Linked DNA regions of Callithrix jacchus. The protein of the gene in region 2 interacts with the protein of the main gene of each other region in a pairwise test. Links are inferred from orthologs where the notes say so. Each region holds a gene or a part of one and is shown on either strand. Other genes may lie near its edges.

Region 1 (7,675 bases), on a different chromosome or scaffold from region 2:
ATTTGTGGAGTTTTGATAGATACCACAAGGTCAGGACAGGTGCAGTGGCTCACACCTGTAATCCCAGCAGTTTGGCAGGCCGAGGTAGGCGGATCACAAGGCCAGGAGTTCCAGACTGGCCTGGCCAATATGGTGAAACCCTTTCTCTACTAAAAATACAAAAATTAGCCAGGCATGGTGGCACATGCCTGTAGTCGCAGCTACTCGGGAGGCTGAGGCAGGAGAATCAATTGAACCCAGGAGGTGGAGGTTGTAGTGAGCCGAGATCCCACTACTGCACTCCACCTTGGGCAAAAGAGAGACTCCGTATTTTTTTTTTTTTTTTTTTTGAGACAGAGTCTCACTCCGTCACCAAGCGCCAGGCTGGAGTGGAGTGGCATAACCTCGGCTCACTGCAACCTCTGCCTCCCGGGTTCAAGCAATTCTCCTGCCTCGGCCTCCTGAGTAGCTGGGACTACAGGCACATGCCACCATGCCCAGCTAATTTTTTTGTATTTTTAGTAGAGATGGGGTTTCACCATGTTGGCCAGGTTGGTCTCAATCTCTTGACCTCGTGATCCGCCCGCCTTGGCCTCCCAAAGTGCTGGGATTACAGGCGTGAGCCACCGTGCCAGGCAAGACTCCATCTTAAAAAACAAACAAACAAAAACGCCAAGCATAGTGGCTCACGCCTGTAATCCCAGCACTTTGGGAGGCCGAGGAGGGTGGATCACAAGGCCAGGAGTTCAAGACCGCCCTGGCCAATATGGCAAAACCCTGTCTCTACTAAAAATACAAAAATTAGCTGGGCGTGGTGGCACATGCCTGTAGTCCCGGCTACTCAAGGGGCTGAGGCAGAAAAATTGCTTCAACCTGGGAGCTGGAGGTTGCAGTGAGCCAAGATCGCGCCACTGGAGTCCAGCCTGGGAGACAAAGGAAGACTCCATCTCAAAAAAAAAAAAAAAAAAAGACTGGATGTGTGGCTCATGCCTGTAATGCCAGCACTTTGGGAGGCCGAGTTGGGCAGATCACCTGAGGTTGGGAGTTCGAGACCAGGCTGGACAACATGGAGAAACCCCGGCTCTACTAAAAATAGAAAAAAATTAGCCAATTGTGGTGATGCCTGTAGTCCAAGCTACTCGGGAGGCTAAGGTAGGAGAATCGCTTGAACCCAGGAATTGGAGGTTGCAGTGAGTGGAGATCACACCACTGCATTCCAGCCTGGGTGACAGAGGGAGACTCCATATCAAAAAGAAAAAGGAGGTCGGGTGAGGTGGCTCACACCTGTAATCCCAGCACTTTGGGAGGCCGAGGAGGGTGGATCACAAGGCCAGGAGTTCAAGACCGCCCTGGCCAACATGGTGAAACCCCATCTCTACTAAAAGTACAAAAATTAGCTGGGCGTGGTGACACACGCCTGTCGTCCCAGCTACTAGGGAGGCTAAGGCAGAAGAATCGCTTGAACCTGGGAGACAGAGGTTGAAATGGCCTGAGATTGTGACACTGCACTCCAGCCTGGTGACAGAGCGAGACTCTGTCTCAAAAAATAGAAAACAGATAAAAAATTAGCTGGCATGGTGGCATGCACCTATAATCCCAGTTACTGGGGAGGCCGAGGCAGGAGAATCATTTGAACCCAGGAGACAGAGGTTACAGTGAGCGGAGATCGCGCACTACACTCCAGTCCGGGCAACAGAATGAGCCTCAATCTCAAACAAACAAAAAGTCAGAAAGCACATGGTTAGCAAAGCCTAAGATGTTTACTACCTAGCCCTTGACAGAAGAAGCTGGCCAACCCCTGATCTAACACATTTATTTGGTGCTACCAGCTTCATCATCACCCCCACCTTCATCAGCTGCTCCTTCTGTCTGGAAAGTTCTTCCACCAGATCTTAGGATAGCGTGTTCCTTCTTGGGACTTAGATAACATCTGAAGTGTGACCTCCTCAGAGTTCTTCTGTGGTTACCTTGTTATTCTCTTACCTCATTGCCCTGTTTTAATTCTTGACACGTCACTTACTGTTTGTTTACCTGCTGCATCCTCAGAACCTGACTCACAGGAAGCACTCACACTCAGTAACTGCAATGGGCTGAACAGGTGAACAGCTGCTGAGCCTGTGGTCCAGGGGTCCCAGCACCAGATGTGACATGGGAGGCTCTGAGCTCATAGCTGAGCAAGTCTGATGAAAAGGCCTCACTTAGGTGTGCGTGCACCAGTGCCAGCAGAGCCTCGGCATGAGAGAGAGAAGAACCTGGAACTGCCACCCAGTTTTCATTTTTGCGAACGAATAGATGTGGCACAGTGCTAGGGCAGGACACACTGGGGGCAGAACAAGGGTGGAGCTGGGGGTCTGGTGTAATCTGTGGGATCAGCTGAGACTGAGGTTCCTAAGCTACAGGCAGTGGAGAGTTGTATCAATTGGCTGCTTATTTAGACCAGAGGTTCAAGAACCCCCAGGACATAGACCCCCAAAGTGAAGACATACAGGAGGAGCCCCCTTGCTAGGTACTTGCTAACCCAGGCAACCCTCGGGGCAAAATGGAGTGCAGATACATCCCAAGCAGGTGAGGGATAAGGCCAGGACAGGGCAATCAAGAGACAGGAGGGATGGTCCCAACCAACAGGGAGGAAATCCAGCTCAAACACCAGGAGGGGAAAGGACCCCTAAGGCCTCCACCATCCCATCTCAAGGCTGGGAGACTTGGGGCAGGGGCAGGCAGCTAGCCCTGCAGAGCTCTGAAGGTCCACCACAGGGACACGCATGGAGTCAGCCGGTGTGCAGGTCTACTAGGCAGCCCCCAGCTCCTCAGGCAACCCAGCCCCACGCCGCCTGAGCTCCTCTGGGACAGTCGTGGCTCTGGATCCCCGAGGTGAATCAGGCAGCGCTGCCAAAGGCCTCTTCAGGAGGCCCAGGGTACTGCAGGCAAGACCCTTTTCCCAGGGAAAGCCCAATATGACCAGGAAGCAACTGGGGCACCAAGACGCCCAGGAGGGCTCACTGCTGAGCTAGACACGCTTTGAAAAAGGCAGCGGTACCCCCGCCTCCACTTCCACCCCCAAGTAGGGATACAGGATGAAAAGGAAGGCACAGAGCTTTGGGGAGGGCCAGCTTTGCTCTGGCTCCCCTAAGCCTAGAGTGACTCTGTACACACCCGTCTCTGCACCCATGGAAATTAATCCCGTCGTGCCCGGGGCCTCCGCTCTGATACAGACAGGGGCCCACACCAGTCCTGGACACTCCTTCCCAGGCGGGGTGCTTGCTTAGTTAATTCTTGCCCTGATCCCATTTCCTGAGGGGTGGCCCGGGTGCCCAGCACTGCAAGTGAGGTCACTTTAATCCCCGAAAGCTGAAGGAACTTCCTTCAGAGAGACTCCACTTTCTCCTTCAGCCTAGCTCCAAAGCCCCCACAAAGCTTGGGTAAGTCCCTTCTCTGTGGCCTTGATTTCCTGATCTGAAAATGTAGATAATTCCGGAGTTGTCTACTTGACCGGCAGGCTGCGGAGAATCCACACACCTTTACCTTGGAACAAAATGCGAAGCAGCCTCCAGCTCCCAGCCTTTCCTGTCCCTTGGCACCTGCTGCCGTGGGACTCAGCCAGCAACGCCCAAGGCGGCCAGGTGGGACCTGTGCCCTGGGCGCCCGCGTGACGGCAGCCGCGTCTCCCGAGGGCCCCTCCCTGGCCTCCTCCCTCCGCAGCCTCCTCTCTCCCCTGGGCTTCCTCCTCCCTCCCTCCCCTGAGCCTCATCCTTCCCCGGCCCGGCCCCCTCTCTCGATGTCGACCCAGTGCCCATTCTTCCGCTGTGCCCAGCCGGGGACCCTCTCCCTCGCTCCGCTCTCGTCACAGGACCCGGGACTCCGCGCCTCACCTCGCGCCCCGCACCGGCCGCCGCGCAAGTGGGTCCGCTGGCTTCCGCGGGTCAGTGGGCCCCGCGCTCCCAAAGGTGCTGCGGGGGCGGGCCCCGCGCCCGGCCCTCGCCATGGCAACGCTACACTTCCGGCCCGCATTACCTGTAGCCGGAAGCCGCAGTGCCCCGTGGGAGCCGGGGGCGGGGACTGGGGGGGAGGGACATCGGGGGCGGGGTCTGGGGAGGGACATCAGGGGCGGTGCCTGAGGAGGGACGATCAGGGGATGCGGCTGCCGGGGTCCGCTGCGGGCGGCCAGGCGATCCTTCTGCGGCTGCGACCTCCTCGGGCCTTGGGTGAGACGGCGAGCGCTCAAAGGCTCCTGGGACTGTGGTGGAAAAAAAACGAGTCATCGTTGGCAACCGGATGGACGCCGGCGGAATGAGTGGCAGTTTTGGGGGTGTTTCAGCCCGGGACACTGAGGTCGGAGAGGAGCGGTCGGAACTTGGGGAGCCTCCAGCGCCCCACCAAGGAGGCGCCAGTGGAGAGGGGTTCCTTAAGACTTAAGGGAAAGGCCCAGCGAGGTGGCTCACGTCTGTGATCCCAGCACTTTGGGAGGAGGCTGAGGCCGGTGGGTCGCTTGAGCCCAGGAGACCAACCTGGGCAACACAGGGAGGCCTTGTCCCTACCAAAAAGTGAGAAATTAGCCGGGCGCTATGGCGCACACCTGTAGTCCCGGGAGGCTTAGGCGGGAGGATCGCTTGAGCCCAGGAGGTGGAGGCTGCACTGAGCCCAGATGACACTACTGCACTCCAGCCTGGGCAATGGAGCGAGACCTTGTCTCAAAACAACAACAAAGACTTGTGGGAAAGAACGACGCCTTGCTGACCGAATGGGGTAAGAGGCCACGAGTATTTCGCCTCCCGAGATTCAGGACTTTGCAACCTTAGCCTAGGGAACACACCAGAGAAGGCCTCAGCGTCGAGGTGATAACCGGAGTCCTGAGGGAAACAACAAGAGGTCCGAGGGGTGTGGCGGAGATAGAGGGAAAAGGGTGGCACCCCACAGAAAAGGCTCGGTCCAGCCCAGGCTCCTCCTCCAGGACACCCGCTGCCAGTCCCTCCCCTCCACACCTTGGGATGGGCTGGGCTCCACCATATACTTCAGATTTTCAGCCTTTTGAGGTGATCATGGTGAGGGCTGAACAAGAAAAGCTGAATTCTCAGAGAGAGCAAAAGCGTATTCCTGGGCCCCCATGTGTCCAGGGGCCCTTAGCTCTGCTGCCAGCACCAACCCCTGCTGCTAGTGCCCAGAGCTACTGTCCTCTTGGGCAAACTTGCCCCTTGTGAGGGAAGAGAACCTGGGATTTGGGGCAGAGTACCTAACACCAGCCTTGCTCGGACGGAGGGGCAGAGACGCTGATCAGATGGCTAGGGAGGAGGAGGTGGCGGGTCCGCCTGGACTCCTGAAGCAGCTCCCAGGAAATCACTTGAGTCCAAGTTTCCCTTTTGTTCCTGGGGTGGGAACTTCGTGGCCTTCTCCTCCCGAAAGCCCCACCCGATCATGTCCTGGGTAGGTATCTAGCCCTCATAGCCTACTAGCTGCTAGGTCTTGAACTCTGGGGACACTCTTCCTTGGGAGCTTAGCATGGGCTAATTACTCCCCCATCTGTTCAGTGGGGTCCTGTGACCCGGCCAGGGAAGGCGGGATAAAATAGTCATGTATCATGACAGACCCTTCGAAGAGGAGCCTGGCCACCCAAAGGCAGCTCAGGGGTGGAGACTAAGGCCTCAGGAGAAGCACCCACTAGAATCCTCTCTGCCCCTCCCTTCCAGATTAACCAAAACCTGCTAATTGTGGCAGCCCTCGGCAGGCTCCCCTCCCCCACAGCCTCTTCCTCCCTTCCCTCCCCTCCCCTTTCCATCCGAATGATAAAGGGCCCAGCCAGCCAGCCCCCACCCGGCCTCAGGCCCTGGCCCTGCCTCCCACACTGCCCCACTGCCCTGAGCCATCCACCAGGCCAGGCCCCTGCCCACACTGTCTACGGTCCTGCATGGGGCCCCGCAGCGGCTCCCGCCTGCGGCCCCCAGAGGCAGAGTCGCCCTCCCAGCCCCCCAAGAGGAGGAAGAAGAGGTACCTGCGACATGACAAGCCCCCTTACACCTACTTGGCCATGATTGCCTTGGTGATTCAGGCGGCACCCTCCCGCAGGCTGAAGCTGGCCCAGGTGAGATGGCCCTGGCCCCTACTCTCCCTTGCACTCCGAGGCTGGACTTTTCCCCAGACCCATTCCCGACCTACTTCCAGGCTCAAGCCCTGACCCCCACCCCTTCCTAGCCCACCCAGCCAATAGGACCAGTCCTGAGAACCGAGGGCCCTGAGGCATGACCCTTCTCCGGGAGCCCCCGTCCCCTCTGTCGTCCTTTGGTGTAAAATGTTCTTTGGGGAGAACGGGGGCCAACACCCTTGCACCTCTGAGCCCAGTAAGGGGGGAGGGGTGGGACACTGCCCCTTCCCCATCCGGGCTCACCGTGCTGGCCACCTCTGAGCCCAGTAGGAGGGGAGGGATGGGACACTGCCCCTTCCCCATCCGGGCTCACCGTGCTGGCCGGCCACCCGGCGGCTTCAGATCATCCGTCAGGTCCAGGCGGTGTTCCCTTTCTTCAGGGAAGACTACGAGGGCTGGAAGGACTCCATCCGCCACAACCTTTCCTCCAACCGATGCTTCCGAAAGGTGGGGCAGGGCGGGGGCGGGGCGCACGAGGAAGTCCTGAGCATCCAGGGTCGGGCAGCCCCACCCATGTCTGATCCCCACACCCAGGTGCCCAAGGACCCTGCAAAGCCCCAGGCCAAGGGCAACTTCTGGGCGGTCGATGTGAGCCTGATCCCAGCCGAGGCGCTACGGCTGCAGAACACGGCCCTGTGCCGGCGCTGGCAGAACGGGGGTGCGAGAGGAGCCTTCCCCAAGGACCTGGGCCCCTACGTGCTGCATGGCCGGCCCTATCGGCCTCCCAGTCCCCTGCCGCCACCCAGCGAGGGCTTCAACATCAAGTCCCTGCTAGGGGGCTCCCAGGAGGGGGCACCCTGGCCGGGGCTAGCTCCACAGAGCAGCCCAGTTCCTACAGGCATGGAGAATAGTGGGGAAGGGGCTGTGCCTACCCCACCCATGCTCTCCTCTGAGAGGCCTCTGTGGCCCCTCTGCCCCCTTCCGGGCCCCACGAGAGTGGAGGGGGAGGCTTCCCAGGGGGGATCCATTGGGCCCTGTACCCTCTCCCCAGATCCTAGGCCCTGGCCTCTCCACTTACTACAGGGCACCTCAGTTCCTGGGGGGTTGTCCAGTGGGGGACATAGGGCCTCCCTCTGGGGGCAGCTGCCTACCTCCTATTTGCCTATCTACACTCCCAATGTGGTAATGCCCTTAGCACCACCACCCACCTCCTGTCCCCAGTGTCCACCGTCAACCAGCCCTGCCTACTGGGGGGTGACCCCTGAAACCCAAGGGCCCCCAGGGCTGCTCTGGGATCTAGACACCCTCTTCCAGGGGGTGCCACCCAACAAAAGTATCTATGACGTTTGGATCAGCCACCCTCGAGACCTGGCAGCCCCAGCCCCAGGCTGGCTGCTCTCTTGGTGCAGCCTGTGAGGCTTCTAAGGCAGGGGCTGCTCCTCCTTCCTGCTCCCACCCCTGGCTTGTTGACAGGGAGCCAAGGCCAGTGGGGTGTCTGTGACCACAGCAGCCTCGAAACACCAGGCAGCAGCCTTGCTGGGAGTCCACGGTGTTTATTGGACTACCTGATGCATGGCCGTGGCCCACCTGGGCACAGCCCTCGCCCTGGTCAGTCATGCCTGT
Region 2 (6,976 bases):
CTGTTGAGTTAGTTACTCTGGGAAATAGTAAGTATGCAACAGATCTCAAGCCTATGAGGAACATAGGATGAAATTGAGGAGAATAAATTTTTAAAGTGATATACACGTGGAAAAAATGTACAGCACTTAAATTCTCAGCCATATATTCTCTAGAAGTGCAGTAGGAATTTAGACAAGGTAATGTGTAAGACCTTCCAGAGTCAGCTGCCATGCAATCTCCTTCCGGAAGCTTCCCAGGCTCCCTGACTCTTCCTGTCTATCTGGAGTATCTTATGTTAAATGTTTCTGATGATGACCTTCTCCATGCCAGATTTTCTAGGGCAAATAATCGTATTTTCTTCTTTGTGATGTGTCTAACTTCTAATAACAGTGCCTCATGTGGTACGCGCTCATTTAAGTGTCTGTCATACTGACAAGAATTTGTCTCTAGCATAAAATTTCTTTGCATAGCAGGTAGTTATACATTCGAAATTTATGTTTCATAGATTTCTTACAAAAATGCTTTGAAAGTAGTTTGCCTTTCTTTTCTATTTTACGTCATGGGAGTGTTTTGAAGCTACAGGGGGAGCTTAATTTAACACCAATCTCATAGCTGTAATATCAGGGACATAAAACTTGACCTTTGATCTAGGACTCACTGTAGTTTGGAATCTGGTAATTGGAAAATTCTGTGAATGTGTAGAATGCCTTTAACAAAAAAAGAGAGTGCTTTTTAATAGTGTGTATGAATGTATCTTAAAATCATGAAATAGACAAAAAGTAGAATCATCTATACTCTGCTATTCAGAGGTTATCTCTGCTAACCTACTGCAAAAATTGGATAATATTATACCTGCTGTTTTGTAACCAACTTTTAAGTCCCTGTGTTTCTTTCTAATGAACTGTTATTTTGCATTTATCCAATAAAATCGAGTTTCTGTGGTTTTATTATAAATATAAAATTTTTAAGAAAGTGTTACATTTAATTATTTACTTTTATTAATTTTCAGAGTAAATGAGTCATCACATTATGATCTAGCCTTTACAGATGTACACTTTAAACCTGGTCAGATTCGAAGGCATTTTATTGAGGTTCCTGAGGGTGCAACATGGGCTGGTAGGTAACGTTAAAATCTGCGTGCCCACTTATCTCTGTTTGCATTCTGATGACTGTAACTATGTGAGGTTCATTTATCTGTAACATATATTTCCCTGATACTACTATACGTATTTGGGCACCTTAGATTTTCTATAAAGTTCAAAACGTTTTAAGATCTAGTACTATTTTGCATTGGCTCATACAGCAAATTAGGGCACCTTAAGATCTCTTTAATATTTAAGATTTGAGCTTAGTTTAGAATAATGCCTTATCAGGTAATGATTTTTTAAAAATCAGTTTAAATGCAGCTGTTGCTTAAACCTCAAACCGTTAAACTCTTAGAATTTTAGAAATAGAGCTTTAATTTAAAGTTCTATAATCAAATTAGAAGCTTATAAAAGATTTTCACTTCAGTGTCTCTGAAATTTTGAGGGTAAATGATTGCCTAAAACAGTGCTCTTGAATTAACATGTTACAGTCCTATGAGAGTGCTCATGTCATTCTTTTATGCAAGAGCTATGGGTAATACCATATTTTCCTTCATAATTTATATGTCCTAAATTTACAATTTAGCAGTCACTATGGGGAGGGGGGTGGTATGTCAGCTGTCAAAGCTCACTCAAAGAAGGCAAATATGGGCAGTCAAGAAAGTGTCACCCAATTTAAATTAGTAGCCAGCATTATTGATACTTCTTGGATTTGGCCCCTCTGCTAAGCACTTTATAGAGATTATCTTGTCTAGTCCCATCAGAACCCTATAAGGTAGATAGGTGTTGTTAGTAAAAATGGCTTATATTTCACTTGGGAGTGTGTTTTCTATACTATTTTGAAAGTACAGATATATTTACATCTAAGACTTGATTTAAAATGAAATATTGGAATCACACATGTGTAACCTGGTTTGGAAAGAGCTGGTTGTATTCGGTTCTTCATACCATCTTCTGGTCATCTATCTGTATGCAGTCTGTCTGTCACCTGGTATCACAGGAAATGCAAGACTTTTCTTGTTTTATGGAACTAGGTAAGGGCAAAATAATAGCAAAAGCTGAGAGCTAAAGCAATGAATTAAACAGCACCCAATATAGCCTGTTAATTTACACACTGGATTATATGGAGCTGTTGCAGCATTGAGAGGCTTCTGAGGATTATCAGGGGTTGTACTAGACTCATTCATAAGCATCTGTATGCCAGGACCTTTTCACTGGGCTAAGGTGGTGAGCTGCTTAGACAAGGACCCTGCTTCCAGAGGCCTTAGGAACATCTAGTCCAAGATACTGAGTTAAGAAAATTGGATTAGAGGGAGGCAGTATGGAGTAGCAGCAAGGCACAGGCTTTGGAAACTGAGAGGTCTGGGTTCAGATCCACACTCTGCCATACACTAATGTTTACCTGGGTCAGGTTTCTAAATGATCTGAACTTCTATTTCAACTATAAATATAGTTTTTAGTCTGTTGTAAGGATTAGAGATGTTATAGAGTACTTGGTACATAACTTGTCTTCTTTGGGATTATACTGAAACTTGACAGTACTTTTGCGGGGTGGAGTCAGGAGTTGCTGCGTTGAACTGTTCTGGGATACCAGTCTCACCAGGTCCCTTGGAGTTATACAGCTCCAGGCTCTGGTGAAATGTGCACTGTAAATTAAAGAATACAAAGCTATGAGTAATTAATACTGAATTGGGTATTTGTTTAGTGATAAATGGCAGTCATTATAATGCCCTGATTATGATTGGTTTAGGTTGGTATTGAAAATAATTTGTTTTTTAAATAAAAATTATCAAATGACCCAAATGCAAGTAGTTCAGAGCATTTAGCAGTCTTAGTTTTATTTCAAATAATTAGAAATATTGTCATAACACTAGATTTTGTGTTCTTAGCAACTGACTAGGTTCTGAGAGCTCTGTGCCCACTTGGTTTTGTGAACCGTGGGATTGTTCCTTGCTTTAGTTCCCTTGGATTCGTTTAGCTGTTCTTTAGAGAACCTTCCAATCCGGCACTGCAGTAATTGTGACTTACCTCCAGCACTGCCTCAGAGTAAAGTTAAGCATGTGTAGTCCTGTCAGGCTTTGCAGAAGCACACAGCACACAAGTGGACCAAAAGGAGAGATTAGGAAAAGTTACCAGTGAGGAACTGAGGCATGATAACAAATAGAGGTTTCCAAAAATATAACCTTCCTTCCTTGATCAGGAATTGATAGGTTTTCAGCTGAAACAAGGAGAGATTTTAGACAGTGCCCGAGTAGTATAGTTGCGTGTGCGTCTATGACAATTTGCTGTTTCTCGGTGTTCGCAGCATCATAGTGGTTCTTTTTAACACCAGTTTCTTTCTTTCCCATAGAAAATCTGCCCTTCTAACTTTATTAATATTTCGTTGATTGTTTGTTTTTAAGGAAATATATGCAGATTTCATTTGAGTGTGTCATTTTATTTTGATCCCTATTAATTCCCTAAATGGGAATTATTCAAGCCACTTTATGCCAATTTTAGGTCTTACAAGTTTAAAGCTTTGCTTCTTTCCTTCCTATTTTAGAAGTGACAGTGTGTTCGTGTTCTTCTGAGGTGTCAGCAAAGTTTGTTCTTCATGCAGTCCAGCTTGTGAAGCAAAGAGCATATCGAAGCCATGAATTCTATAAGTTTTGTTCTCTTCCAGAGAAAGGAACACTGACTGAAGCTTTTCCTGTCCTAGTGAGTTTAATTACAGTTTATAATCCTTAAACAATTTATTTACCTTTTCGGTATGGGCTAAGACTAGGTATTTGTATTTGATTTTATGGTTTGTATTAAGCACACTGGAATTGTGTATTTTTTTAATGCTATAAAAATGAAATAGGAAGATAGAAAATCGAATTAGGGTCCTTGAAACCAAGTTGGAGGTAAATATTCATCACTTTAATTCTTGAGTAGTGTAGTGAAAAAAACATACTTGTCTGGTAGATTCTGGTGCCTTGTAGTTTGGATCCTGATTTAGATTATTCCTTGAAGACTTGTTTGCATGCCACTTAATTTATTTTACTAATGCCAGGTTGTTAGGAAGCTATGAGGCTAATTTGCATTATAGGGAAACTGCTACTGCTTCATGTCTGAGTTATCTCAAATGATGGCAGATCTGCATTCTTGTCTGTGGTGATGGAAATGACTAGCCCTTCTTCCATGGAAGGTGAAAGTACTGACGTTCTTCCTTCAACTCGCTCCTTTGTGTTTTCAGATGGTTGCGGGATTTTCCCAGTATCTCTTTGTTTCTGGTTATTTTAATTTGTGTTCTTCCATGGATCAGTATTACATGATCCCATCTTTTTAAACTTTTAAATTCACTGATTACTAGAAAACTTAATTAAAAACTCAGTGCTAACCGCAGGTTTTTTTCCCCTTATGTTTATTTTTTAGAAGGGAGAAAGATGTAAATGAGTGTAACATCATTTCGTTTTGGTTGCCAAGTAGCTGTGAGCCCAAACTCAACTGTGCCTATTGAATATGCCTTACAAAGTTGTATCTTTCTTGTGTCATTATTCTTGATTATTTTTCTTTTGACCCTAATTTTTTATTCCACTTTGAAATAAGAAAAGCACATTTACTTTTGTCTGCTTTCAGAAACTGTCTAGGACCTTTTATGACATATGCTTTTAAGAAGCATAGGATTATGAGTAAATAACTATGTATATTTAAATATCTGCACCATATCTCTGCAAATGATTTGTCTAACTCTTAGCATAGCAGTTAAAAGGTTTTCAAGTTTTTTTGCTACAAACAGGAAAAGTTTGAAAACAGAATTGCTCTGAAACAGCTAGTATTTATATTCTGTAATTTGAGAAAAAAAAGATATTTTATTTACTTTTATTTGCAGGGTGGAAAAGCGATTGAATTTTGCATTGCTCGTTGGTGGGCAAGTCTCAGTGATGTCAACATTGATTATACCATTTCTTTCCATGGGATAGTGTGTACTGCTCCTCAGTTAAACATTGTAAGTTCCACAACATTTTCTGTGATTTTTAATGTCCGTTACTTGTGTTACTGGAGAATAATTTCATTGGTGAGATGTAAACTTTAATAAGGGAAATTACCTATGGTTCTGAAAATAACAGTCGTCTTTGTGTGTGGGTACTTATAAACTTTATATTGGACACATTTATTTTAGGTACAAAATATTGCTTATTGTTACTAAAGTTTGAGAAAGTAATTTGATAAATACCTTTTGTAGCATGCATCGGAAGGAATCAACCGTTTCGATGTTCAGTCCTCCTTGAAATACGAAGATCTGGCTCCCTGCATAACTTTGAAGAGCTGGGTCCAAACACTACGGTATCATTCAATGTTTTAGGGGCTACAAATATTGAATATAGATGGGGGATCTCTTACCCTCTTATAAAGGAGACTTTTTTAAAAAAAATCAACAAGCATGCTAGTGGTAAGAATTTTATCCTTGCAGATCTCTGCAAGGCAGCCCCAGTATCAGCTTCTAGCTTCACTGTCCCACCTGAGCAGCAAAGTCAGAGATGGTCATGACTAGTTCGGATCAGTGGACGTTAACCTTTTTATTTCTTGCCATAAAATAGCAAGTTAACATTCTTTCTGATTATTTTGTGAATCCTAATGCAATCATTTTTAGAAGCTGCAATATTGACGTTTTTATTGAGTGGTAGAAACTTAAGTACTATAGTCTGCTTTTGTGCCTCAGCACGTCCCCTTAGAAAACCAGGGCACCTTGACCTGTGTTCACACACTCACTGTGTCATAAAGATACCTGCTTTCTATTGTTTAGTCTGACCTTAACTCATCAGCATGAAGCCTAGTCATAAGTGCATTGAAATAACCAATTAGGGACAAGAGTCAGTGACACAGTAATGCCTAAAGATATACTGCCTCCTAGAATTATCAATACAAATTAAAACCTCCAGCTTTTGAAGGTATATCCAACTTATATCGTCTTAATGTCTTCTTCCTAAATCTCAAAAATTGGAGCTAAATTTAAAGGAGTAACTATATTTCACTGACATTGTAAACTATATTTAAAACTTACTCTTCAGTGCCAGTTTTTTCCTTTATAAAACCTGTATGTTAGTAACTTGCTTCAGAGGACTACTAAGAATATGAAATACCATTCCCTTGACCAGGAGGAGGGCTGAGTGTGGCCCTTGCTCCACTGTGGTGAGCAGCAGGGACCTGGGGTGGTCCGTGCTGTGCACAATCCAGCACTGTCAACAGTTTGCACAAGGGGTCCAAATCAGAACCTGTCCTGCAGTGCCTCTAGAGTTGTCACCCTAGGGTTGGGATTTGGTTGTGTTAAGAGCTATTTGTTGACATTTGAAAATGTTTTTGTCATGAAAAGATTGCCTTTGTAATATTTATTGCAATATTTAAACTATGTATTTATATGATACAATCAAATAATTATGTAAGTTAAGGAATAAAATATTGTAGAATATACTGAAAAGGATAGCTCTCAGGAAGGCTCATCTGTCACTTTCTGCAATAGGTTACAAATTTTGTTGCTTATGGTTTTGTCTCATTTGATGAACTCTTGAATCAAATTAGTTATGTAGTTTTCTCATTACAGCCCAGTGAGTGCAAAAACAAAACCTTTAGGATCAAGAGATGTTTTGCCAAATAACCGTCAACTGTATGAGATGGTCCTGACATACAACTTTCATCAAGTAAGTGTTTGCCTAGAAAATTATACCCTTAGGATGAACTTTTGTGTTTTATTTATGATTCATAAAGTCAAAAATGGAAGGATAGTGTATATGGTATATATGTGAAACAGAATCAATTAACATTGGTTAATTTGAAATTACTCTTTAGGAAATTATAATTTGTAATAAAGTACCATTTAGTATTAAAGCCTTAAAATGTAATTGAGTGGTGACCAAACCTTGAGCCTTAGTTTATAAAATCACTGATGTCT

Evidence for each region.
Region 1: the proteins of TPP2 (region 2) and PPP1R16A interact in binary tests that used the Homo sapiens proteins (3 or more experiments, as listed by UniProt). The two-hybrid records come from large-scale screens. The link is inferred for Callithrix jacchus from reciprocal best matches to the Homo sapiens genes TPP2 and PPP1R16A.

Annotation. Positions count from the first base shown.
Region 1 is NC_133517.1:53,154,378-53,162,052, forward strand, and holds the start of PPP1R16A (protein phosphatase 1 regulatory subunit 16A), read right to left. Parts: upstream 4,011-7,675; 5' UTR 3,849-4,010; intron 1-3,848. Other genes in the region: FOXH1 (forkhead box protein H1), read left to right, coding at 5,879-6,052, 6,455-6,559, 6,647-7,468. UniProt on the Homo sapiens protein: Inhibits protein phosphatase 1 activity toward phosphorylase, myosin light chain and myosin substrates.
Region 2 is NC_133502.1:18,330,659-18,337,634, forward strand, and holds part of TPP2 (tripeptidyl-peptidase 2), read left to right. Parts: intron 1-989; coding exon 990-1,096; intron 1,097-3,607; coding exon 3,608-3,762; intron 3,763-4,918; coding exon 4,919-5,035; intron 5,036-5,272; coding exon 5,273-5,373; intron 5,374-6,628; coding exon 6,629-6,725; intron 6,726-6,976. UniProt on the Homo sapiens protein: Cytosolic tripeptidyl-peptidase that releases N-terminal tripeptides from polypeptides and is a component of the proteolytic cascade acting downstream of the 26S proteasome in the ubiquitin-proteasome pathway.